2 linked regions of the Caenorhabditis elegans genome follow. The protein of the gene in region 2 purifies or fractionates together with the protein of the main gene of each other region. This does not show direct contact. Each region holds a gene or a part of one and is shown on either strand. Other genes may lie near its edges.

Region 1 (4,433 bases), on a different chromosome or scaffold from region 2:
TTATTAGGATTGTTTTAATTTCGCAAATATGCTACTAGAACTTTTCCATTACTCTTTTCCAAAAAGATGGGTACGTGAACCATTTAAGTTTATGTCAATTCAACTGAACATGTTCAAAGGAGTCAGCTAGAAAACTGTGAACTTTCCGCTCAAATAATTTCATAGTGAAACCATCAAACCAGACCTCCGTGGTATAGTTTTCCGATTTGATAAAGATCGCGTTAAATATCCATACTACTAATTAAATTGAACTTCTCGCTTGAAACCACATGCAGCGTTTGTCTCGTTGGCCACCACTATCGGTGAAAGAATTTTTCTGGCGATTAGCCAAACCAGGTTTCATTCCTCCTTATTAGGGTCAGTGTTTCTATCTGCACTGACCTTTTCATGAGACATCGACAAGCCTATTTCATGCCTCACTGTGCTAATGGTTTAATTGTTTTTAAAAAAGTCGGTTATCCTCCCAGTTTCGTCAGTTCAACACCAATCTTAGTGTCTGCGGGTTCAAAGCATACAAGCTATCTTAGATCACAGTACAAAACACTAATTGCATTTATTGAAAAAATAGACAGCGGAACATTTACATGGAAAAAATACGAAAGAATGCAAATTATTATAATGTGTAGGTTTTTTGATTGAATTACCAGCCGATTTATCATTTTTAGTGAGTAACAACCTTGATAATTTTTGGGTGAAAGAATTTAAATGAAAGAAAAAAGAAAAAAGTGAGATGAATTTTTGATTTAAATCACTCCATAATATCATAGTTGTGAAGACATAACTTCTTCAAGTTTGCCTCCAAGCTTTCGACTGCCAGAGCCATAGCGCTTTCGCGGATGTCGGTGTACAAAGGAGAGGTCCTGGAAAAATGGTTTTTAAGATCAATCACAGTAAATTGTACATGATTACTACGTTAAAGATTCAATAGTTGTTTAACTTTCTATCAGAAATACTCAACATCCGAGGAATCAGATGCAAACTACTAGCTCACATCACAAGTAACATTTTAAGTCAGTCATCTTACATGTATCGTTCTCCACAGCTTGGCAAACAAGTCACAATGAGCTTTCCAGCCATTTCTGGGCGAGCAGCCAACTGAAGTGCAGCTGCAACATTAGCTCCGGAGGAAATTCCTAAAATATAGAATTTTAAAAACATACTTCTTTCAAACTATCAAAGCAAACACAGTCACACAACCTACCGCCAAGAAGACCTTCTTCATAGGAAAGTCTTTGAGCCATGACAATAGCCTCATCGGAATGAATTCGAATTACGTCTTCATAGATCTTTGTGTCCAAAACAGCTGGAGCAAACCCTGCTCCAATGCCTTGAATTTTGTGTGGACCGGCTGGTCTGCCGCTGAGTATAGCGGATTCTTCTGGCTCCACAGCAAACACGCGGACACCTGGATTCTGCTCTTGCAAGTATCTGCCAACTCCGGTAATTGTTCCACCAGTTCCAACCCCAAAAACAACAGCGTCTACTGTCCCTTTGGTTTGTCTCCAAATTTCTGGTCCAGTTGTTTGATAGTGAACAAGTGGATTATTTGGGTTGTCAAATTGAGCAAGAATGATAGACCCTGGAATGTTTTCCTTCAGCTGGTTAGCCATGTCAATCGCTCCTTTCATTCCTTTCGCTGGGTCTGTCAAGACCACCTCGGATCCATATGCTTTGAGAAGAGTTCTCTGTAAGATATATATTTTATATGTTAAAAAATTTTCAACCCGGAGATTTGTTTAAAATCACAGATGACACAACTGTACTCAATAGCTAAAAAAAAAGGTTTCAGTACTGGCAATTCCTGGGGTGAAGATTTGCATCCATAAGATCAATACTCACGCGTTCTCCACTCATAGATGCTGGCATTGTGACAATACATCTATACCCCTTGGCGGCAGCAACAAAAGCCAATGCGATTCCAGTGTTTCCTGATGTTGGCTCAATGAGCGTGGTCACTCCCGGGATCACCTTAAAAAATTTTAATGCAATTTTTTGAACAATGGTATTGTTGATGAAGCACCGTTCCATCTTTTTCGGCCGCTGCAAGCATTGCCGCTCCAATACGATCTTTGACCGATCCCGCTGGATTCATGTATTCGATTTTTACAGCTGTAAACTTGAAAATTATAATAGGATAATTGGACTTTTGTTTCTTCTTGAAAATTCAAAACATTTTTGATTTGTAAAATTCAATTTTATCTACGTTCTGGTTTTACTATTTTTCGTACTTTCTTTTAAGTGAGACTATTTGTCAAAGTTATATTTTGTTGAGAAGTTACAAAACTCGGTTACAGTGGTATTGCATAAAAGAAACAAAAAAATTCAAAGTTTCACCAGTATTGTTCAAAACATTTTTTAAGATTTCGTTTAATTCAAATGAATAAACCAACCAACTGTCCCTGGAAGTCCTTTTGTCAATTTATTGATGTACACCATGGGTGTGTTGCCAATAAGCGCGGCAGCATTTTCGCCAATAGAGTTGCGATCAGCCATCTGAAACATCGACTATGAGTTAAATGAGAGTGTAGACAATAACGAGAGAACGCAGAAAAGGGAAAACTATATCACAGGAAAGAAATATTTTAAACTATCAATGACTATTGGCACGGAAACAAAATATTTTTCTATCATCTGTTTCTGCTGGTTTTGACACCAAACTCCAAATGATAGTTGGACTTTTAAACAGAAGGAGATAAGGAGATAAAGAAAATGTTATAAGATAGGGAGAGATAGACGACACATGTCTAAGTACATGTTGTGTAGCGGAACGAATGCACAATCAGCTGGCATTTCTTAAAGGTTGGCACACATCTAATGAGCCATTGAATGAACATTCTAAGGAAGCAATGAGGAAACAAACAGAACACGCAACACAACGAGCAAGAGATAGAAGAATATCCCGTTGTTGTATCTTATAGAGCAGCTGCAACGAGACAGATTTATAAAAATGAAGTGAGCAAGTAAGGAGAGAATGAATCCACGATAAGATAATAAAACAACAATAACCGCTCAGTATGACATAATTGCATTATGCAAATGTCGGTGAGCTGGAAAATTTACAATGGGAAAAGAAGAGATGATATCCATTTATTAGAAACTGGGACATTTTTGATGATAAAAGGTAAACCACTTCGTATTTTTCCCGAAAGTATAAATTAAACTTTTTAGGAACTCAGACAGAGTTATTTCAAAAAATTGTTATTTTCTAGATCAAGCACGATAAACTCCAAACATGGAAAAGCATTTACATGTACATCTATTATAGGTAATTAGGAATAGTTTATCCTGAATAACCTTTATGAGTCATGAGTTAAACAAAACACGAAAACGCCCCACTCACCGGATTAAACCAATGAAAAGTACTTGCACGTTTCGATATATACTTAGTGTTCTTGTTTTGTAAAAATAGCAAATGCAACAACTAACCGGCTGGTATTATTTTGATCTTTTGAAACTGCACTTATTAATGAAACATTTCATTCTTTGAAGTGGAATCTTGTTGCAAAAATTGAAGGATGTAAAAAATGGATCTCCTGTCATCTAATAGAAACATTCACACGCTTTTTCCATTTTCTTTTTCTTCTAAGAAAACTCCGAGAAGGATGAAATAGGAGGTGATGGGGAGTTTTCTTAATAAAAAATATAATGAACAAACGATCAAATTACACGATATCGCGAGGCGTTTTCAGAATTTACTTCAAAAAGTAAACTTTGATCATTTTAAAACGGCAGTTCTTAAAGAGCATTAGACCTTTTTACAGTTTCTATCTGGATATGTTTCAAAATTCTTTGAAAACACATTTGATGATTGAGAAAACCAATAATAGTAGTGTCGAAATAGTGTGAAGTAAGCAAAAAGTAGTAGTTTGCATGCAATAATGTCCAGAAAGCAAAAGGTCACTCGTGCTATTTCTTCTATGCACTTCAGACTTCATCAGTAGCATGGGAAAATTCCCACGTCGTCCAGAAACGTTGAATATAAGAATTATACTGTCGAGCATGCATTTATCTCTATATCTTTTGCAAAAAGATATAAAACACAAACGATAAAAAGAAAAGAACAAAACTGGATTGTGGAGACCTACCAAGGTTGATAAATAAATTAAAAAGCGGTAACAGAGACAATTTTTGTTAATTTCTTTGTTGATGAAATTACAACGATGAATTGAATAACAATTTCCACACGCATGCTGTTTCATTCATATATACTTTGACCACTGGGACTACTTCTCAGTTAAGATGTAGAGATCAAAAGATGAAAATCTAGCGAAACGCATACGCATGGGAGCATAACTGACGGATAAAAGCTTATTAGCTTTGCGACCAGAGTAGAAACATTAATATGGACCTCGAGAGCATTAAATGTAAATGAAAGAGCATGCAGAACACTCGGGATTTGGGAGAATAAATTGAAAACTGGTGAATCGGTTGTC
Region 2 (6,116 bases):
TAAGAAGGAAAGAAAATTGGTGGAAATGAGACCGCCCATGAAGAAAAATCATTTTCTTGTCGAAAAATTAACAATTTCATATTTTAGAGTTGGAATTTTAATTTCAAAATTATTTTAATAAATAATTAATCAATATTTACACAAATGTAAAAAATAACACGAAAAATTTAAAAATCCGCTGATTGGCCTAAACTTCGGTGGCCCAAGACCACACACGAAGATAACTAATTTTCTCATTTTCCAGATGAAAAATTAAGAATTTTATATATTAAAATTGAAATTTCAATTTTAAAACTAATTTAATTTGAAAAAAAAATCAAATTATTCTCAAAAAATGCGAAAAAAATCGATGATTGGCCTAAAATATCGGTGGTCCAAGACCACCCACGAAGAAAAGTGACTACAGTAACCTGTACGTCAACACCATCACGTCAAAATGCACAGACCGCGAAATTTGAAAATAGTTTATCTGAATTTGCGAATATATTAATAAAATGACCATTTAAATTAAGTTTTATATAAGAAAAAGCGATAAATTATTTAAAAATTTTAGAAAAAAGTTTTTTTAACCTCCAATTTCTGAAAAAAATATCGAATTTAATAAAAATAAAACATTTATTGACGAGATCAAGAAGAAAAAAAGTTATTTTTAAAAAGCAGCCGATGGATCAAAAATTCCGTTGAATCGATTCGAAATTCTATTATTATATATGGCAGCCTGTGGTACTGGATCATATGCCACGTCGCGTTCCGTAAATACTCCTGTACACTCATTCGGGCACACGTCCTGTAAGAAAATCATGTCAAATAATGTTAAAATCACGTGGTGCCAGGCTGCCCTAACACGGTTTGATCTACAAAAAATGCGGGAATTTTTCGCCCAAATATATGTGACGTCAGCACGTTCTTAACCATGCGAAATCAGTTGAGAACTCTGCGTCTCTGTTCCCGCATTTTTCGTAGATCTAAGTAGATCAAGCCGAAATGAGACACTCTGACACCACGTGTGAAATGAAAATTTTAATACCGTCAATTGAATTTCCGGGCTGCCGAGGTTCGACACAGATGGTCCATTTAATGGCTGGGCGTTGAAGAACTGAAAACTTGCGCGTAAAGTATGGTGCATTGAGAGGGGCGGAGTTAATACATCGGATTTCACACGCAAGTTTTTTTGGCGGGAAAATCGAATTTTTCAGAGTTTCCGTTACGGATTTCTGGCTTCCCTCATAAATTGAAATGGAAGAGTTTGCCGAACTAGGCCATTTTGGCTCGGCCATATCTGGGGTAGATTTACGGCGCGTTGCGTGTCGCGTCGCGGCTCGGTTTTAGTTGTAAAACTAAATGTATTTGTCCGTGTGGAGTACACGGCTTTCCCACGCGTTGTCCGGCAGGATTGTCAATGGAGGGCGAAAAATTCAATGAGGAAGGCCAGAACCCCGTGTTTCCGAAATTTTTTAAAAATCAAAATCGTCATTTTTGTGGGTTTTTTTTCTATTTTTCTCCACGTGGATTACACAGAACACTTGTCAGTAGAGCACTCTTGCATTTCTGGTATACCCGAGAGTTCCTGGATAGCAAAGCCATAGGTTTATTTTTATTTTTCCAAGCAAAAACAGAATCCCAAATTATTATAAAAATGGAGTGAGCAAAAGAGAGAAAGAAGTTAGTTAAAGATCTTGCGGGTACACTTGTTGGCACAAATTTCCACAGTGTGTGGAGCAGCATTGTGATATCCAATTGATCCGTCTTCGATGGATCCTTCGGTGACGAACTGTAACAGGGTGTTATGAGGAGGTAGGTGGACAGGTTACGGTAGAAGTGGGGGGGGGGGGGGGGAAGTGATATTTTTTGTCAACTTACATTCCATGTTGTGCATGTGGAGAGGGAGCCAACTGGGCGAGCAAATCGAGCCACGAGGGTGTTGCCTGAAACATAATTTGATAATAAATTTGCGCGTGAAATATGGTGTTTTGGAGTGAAGAGACAGCTATGACCTGATACATCAGAATTTACGCGCAAATTCAAATATTGAAGTTTTGCGCGTGAAATTTGATGCATTGTAGCCGGTGTTTGTACATTTTGGCGATAACGATTCAATACATCAGATTCTACGCGCAAATTTAAATTGGCGGATGAAATTAAAAAAAAATTGCGCGTTAAATTTGATGTATTGCCGCCGACAGTTTTAAATTAAAGGTATTACTGGAACACTAAATTTCGAAAATGCGTATTGCGTAACATATTTGACGCGCAAAATATCTCGTAGCGAAAACTACAGTAATTGTTTATCCGACTACTGTAGCGCTTTTGTCGATTTACGGGAACTCGATTTTTGAATGGATCGATCGATAGAATTTTAAAATTAAGCATAAAAATGACAAAAAAAAATCGAGATCCTGTAAATCGACAAAAGCGCTACAGTAGTCAGATAAACAATTACTGTAGTTTTCGCTGCGAGATATTTTGCGCGTCAAATAAGTTGCACAGTACGCATTCTCGACAGTAAGTGTCCCCGTAATAATCTTGGTCAGAACAAGACAAGGCATGGCCTAGAAAAAGACACCTTGGCCTAGTTTTTGATTTTCTAGGCCACGGCGTACTAAACTCACTGTTATAATCGAGAGATTGAAGAGTGACAGATGGAGAAGCATCGAGTGCAGGTGCTCCGTATCCCTGAGTCGTTCCAGTCACAAGGCTTGGCTTAAAGTCTACCACTTGGAAAATGACAACGATTAGATCGCTCTGCAAATTGGAGTTTGTAGTTTTTGTAGTTTGTAGGGGAAAGTAATATTACATACCATATCAGGTCCAAATCCAACTGCTGACCATTCATTGTTTCCAACGTTTTTTGTGGTAACTTCGACAGTTAATTCTCCATCCACAACCTGAAAACATTATATCTTACGCGCAATTTTTTTTTCAAGGAATCACTGCACAAGACACAGGGCCTGCAAACTATTTAGTATTGATATCAGAAACCAGATTTGTTCAGAGAAAAAAAAACCCTAATATTTTTGCGCAGTTTTCACTTTGGCCTGATAAAATCTGATAAAATGACCTTGAGTGTGGCCGAGAAAAAAAAAAGACTCGGCCACCGTATTTTTTGGGGGGTAGGGTAAAGCTGCCTACTTCATGCCTACCTACCAGTTATTTTCTGCCATTTTAAGGAAAAAAAAATTTTTGGCTTAAAATTTCCAGTCGAAATTTTTTTCTAAGTTTTAGTTTTTTCTGAAATTTCACAATTTCAACATTTCAAAAAATGTTTCTTGTAGCCTTTCAGATTTTTTGCAGAAAAAATCAAAAATTACCTCCAAAGTGTTAGGATGGTCATTGTTTTAGGCGAAAAAATTGACTGAAAAGTTTTGAAATTTTTCAAAAAAAAGTATTTTTTAAAATTTTTTCAGATAAAATGAAAATTGTTTCAATGTCATTGAAACATCACAATAACGATATTATTCTCAAAAAGCACATTTTAAGGTATATTTTATTTTTAATTAATTCTTTTAAAAAAACATTTTCAGTTTTTCTAACGTTTCCCTAAAGTTTCATGCCTTTTTCTTTTTTCTAGTTTTTCAATAAATATATTAAGGGAACACTAAAATTCTTAGAATGCGTATTGCACAACATATTTGACGCGCAAAATATCAAAACTACAGTAATTCTTTAAATGACTACTGTAGGTCGATTTACAGGCTCGATTTTCGAAATGATTTTTTTTTTTCGAAAAGTTACATCATTTCAATAATTTACATTTTTCAATAAATTAAAAAATTGAGCCCGTAAATCGACACAAGCGCTACAGTAGCCACTTAAAGGATTACTGTAGTTTTGATATTTTTCGCGTGAAATATGTTGCGCAGTACGCATTCTCAGAATTTTGTGTACCCATAATAGTTGTTCAAAACGATTGGCACCAAGAATCAGTTTAAACAAACCACTTGAGTTGTGCTCAAACAAAATGACTCACCTGCCACCGAGCACTAATATCTCCACTTTTAGCTGTGCATTTAGCTGATTGTGCTCCAAGAATAGCTAGAGAAACACAAAGTGTACCCAACAAGAAGCCGAACATTCTCTGAAATTGGGGAAATATGTTTAAGAAATGAGGAGAGGTGATGGGTTTTGGACTGGTTGGCAGGGATTGTTGGCAAATAATGGAAGGAAAAGTAAGAAAACAAATAGAAGAAGATTGAAGAGAGAGAGAAAAAAGGAAAAAGAAAGAAAATATTGTAAATGAGGAAGCAATTGAAGACATAAGTCGTCTATTAATGACGAATGATAAACCAGATTCGACCCCAAACGACCCGAGTTTTTGTTTCGAGAATTATAGTGTTAGAATATGAGAGAAAGAGAGAAAGAGAGAGTGAATTGTAATATAGATGAAGAGATGAAGACGTTTATCAAGAAACTGAAGGAAAAAAGTTGACTTGGGATTATTATAGTAGTCCCGAAAAAAACTAACAACGAAAAACCGGGAAAAATTGATGGAGAAAAATTGGCAAATTTCCGGAATTAAAATTTGTTTTATTTTTATTTTTGGCAAACTGTCGATTTGCCGAAAAACGGCAAATCGGAAAATTGCCGGAAAAGCGGCAAATTTCCGGATTCGAAAATTCCGGCCAATCGGTGAATCAACATTTTCGGCAAATTCACAGCAAATCGGAAAATTGCCGGAATTGAAATTTCCGGTAAATCGTCGTTTCCGGAATTTCCTGCAAATTGGGAATTTGACAAATTTCTGGCAAATCGCCGGAATTGAAATTTTTGGCAAATCGGCAATTCGGCAAGTTGCCGGAATTGAAATTTCCGGTAAATTGTCGTTTCCCAAATTTCTGGCAAATCAGCAAATTGCCAGAATTGAAAATTCCGGCAAATCGGCAAATCGCCGGAATTACAATTTCCGGTAAATCGGCATTTCCGGCAAATTGGCAAATCGGCATTTCTGGCAAATTTCCGGCAAATCGGCATTTCCGGCAAATTGGCAAATTGCCAGAATCGAAATTTCCGGCAAATCGGCAATTCCGCAAATTGCTGGAACTGATTTTTTTTATTTTTGACAAACTGCTGATTTGCCGAATTTGCCGAAAAAACAGCAAATCGGAATAATTCGAAAAAAATGTTTTAAAAATTAACAGAACATTTTACAATTTTCTAATTCTAAAAAGGAATTTTGAAAAGGAAAAAAATTTTTTTTTTCTCGGAATATATTGGAAAATCGAAAAAATTTAGGTTTTCTATTTTAAATTCGAGCGCAAACCAAGGCTGCGCCGACCAATCAGCACATTTTGTCATTCGCTGATTGGTCAGCGCTTTCCTCATTTGCGCGCGCACGTGGTGCCAGAGTGTCTCATTTCGGTTTGATCTACATAGATCTACAAAATATGTGGGAGAAGAGACGCAGAGTTCTCAACTGATTTCGCATGGTTAAGAATGTGCTAACGTCACTTTTTTCCGGGCAAAAAATTCCCGCATTTTTTGTAGATCAAGCCTTTATGGGACAGCCTGGCACCACGTGTACTAAATGAAATTTTTTGAGAAATAAACCGCTTAAAATAACCAGGAAAACGACCTACTTCTCCATTTTTCTCTGGCTTACAGAGATCACGACCAAAATTCGTTTAGAAAGAATAAAGAACAGTTTTGGGGATGAACAGGTCGCCGTAGCAGTGATCTTATCATATTGTGGGTGAAAAAAAATGATTAAGTGACGTTTCAGGGTCATTGGCAGAAGGAAGAATTGGAAAAAAATAGGTTGATCAAAAGATGACGCTGACTTTGGCGAAGTTCCTTTAGTCATTTTTTGCCGATTTGCCGGATATTTTATTTCGGGCTAATTGCCGATAAGAAAAAAAAAATTATTTTAAAGTTGGGATCGAGATATTTATAGTAAATCGTTGAGACATATTTAGTTCATCAGGGGTAAACAGAAAGAAATTGTTGATTTTAGGGGTGTTTCAATGAAGAGCAATGGAGCATTGAAACAACTAATGACTCACTTTTGTACAATTTATAAATTGGTGTCAGGATGTCCCATCACGGGTGATCTCCAAAAATGCGGGAATTTTTTGCCCGAAAAAAAGTGGCGTCAGCATACAAAATCAGTTGAGAATTCTGCG

Evidence for each region.
Region 1: the proteins of Y54E10A.17 (region 2) and cysl-1 fractionate together in Caenorhabditis elegans (co-fractionation; one large-scale study listed by BioGRID). This does not show direct contact.

What each region holds. Positions count from the first base shown.
Region 1 is NC_003284.9:9,952,041-9,956,473, forward strand, and holds cysl-1 (Cysteine synthase 1), read right to left. Parts: upstream 2,494-4,433; coding exon 2,391-2,493; intron 2,110-2,390; coding exon 2,021-2,109; intron 1,969-2,020; coding exon 1,840-1,968; intron 1,686-1,839; coding exon 1,202-1,685; intron 1,134-1,201; coding exon 1,025-1,133; intron 861-1,024; coding exon 749-860; 3' UTR 539-748; downstream 1-538.
Region 2 is NC_003279.8:3,204,760-3,210,875, reverse strand, and holds Y54E10A.17 (DOMON domain-containing protein), read right to left. Parts: upstream 4,115-6,116; 5' UTR 4,073-4,114; coding exon 3,968-4,072; intron 2,886-3,967; coding exon 2,799-2,885; intron 2,743-2,798; coding exon 2,610-2,742; intron 1,926-2,609; coding exon 1,861-1,925; intron 1,772-1,860; coding exon of another isoform or gene 1,664-1,771; exon of another isoform or gene 1,097-1,663; coding exon 1,028-1,096; intron 788-1,027; coding exon 650-787; 3' UTR 604-649; downstream 1-603.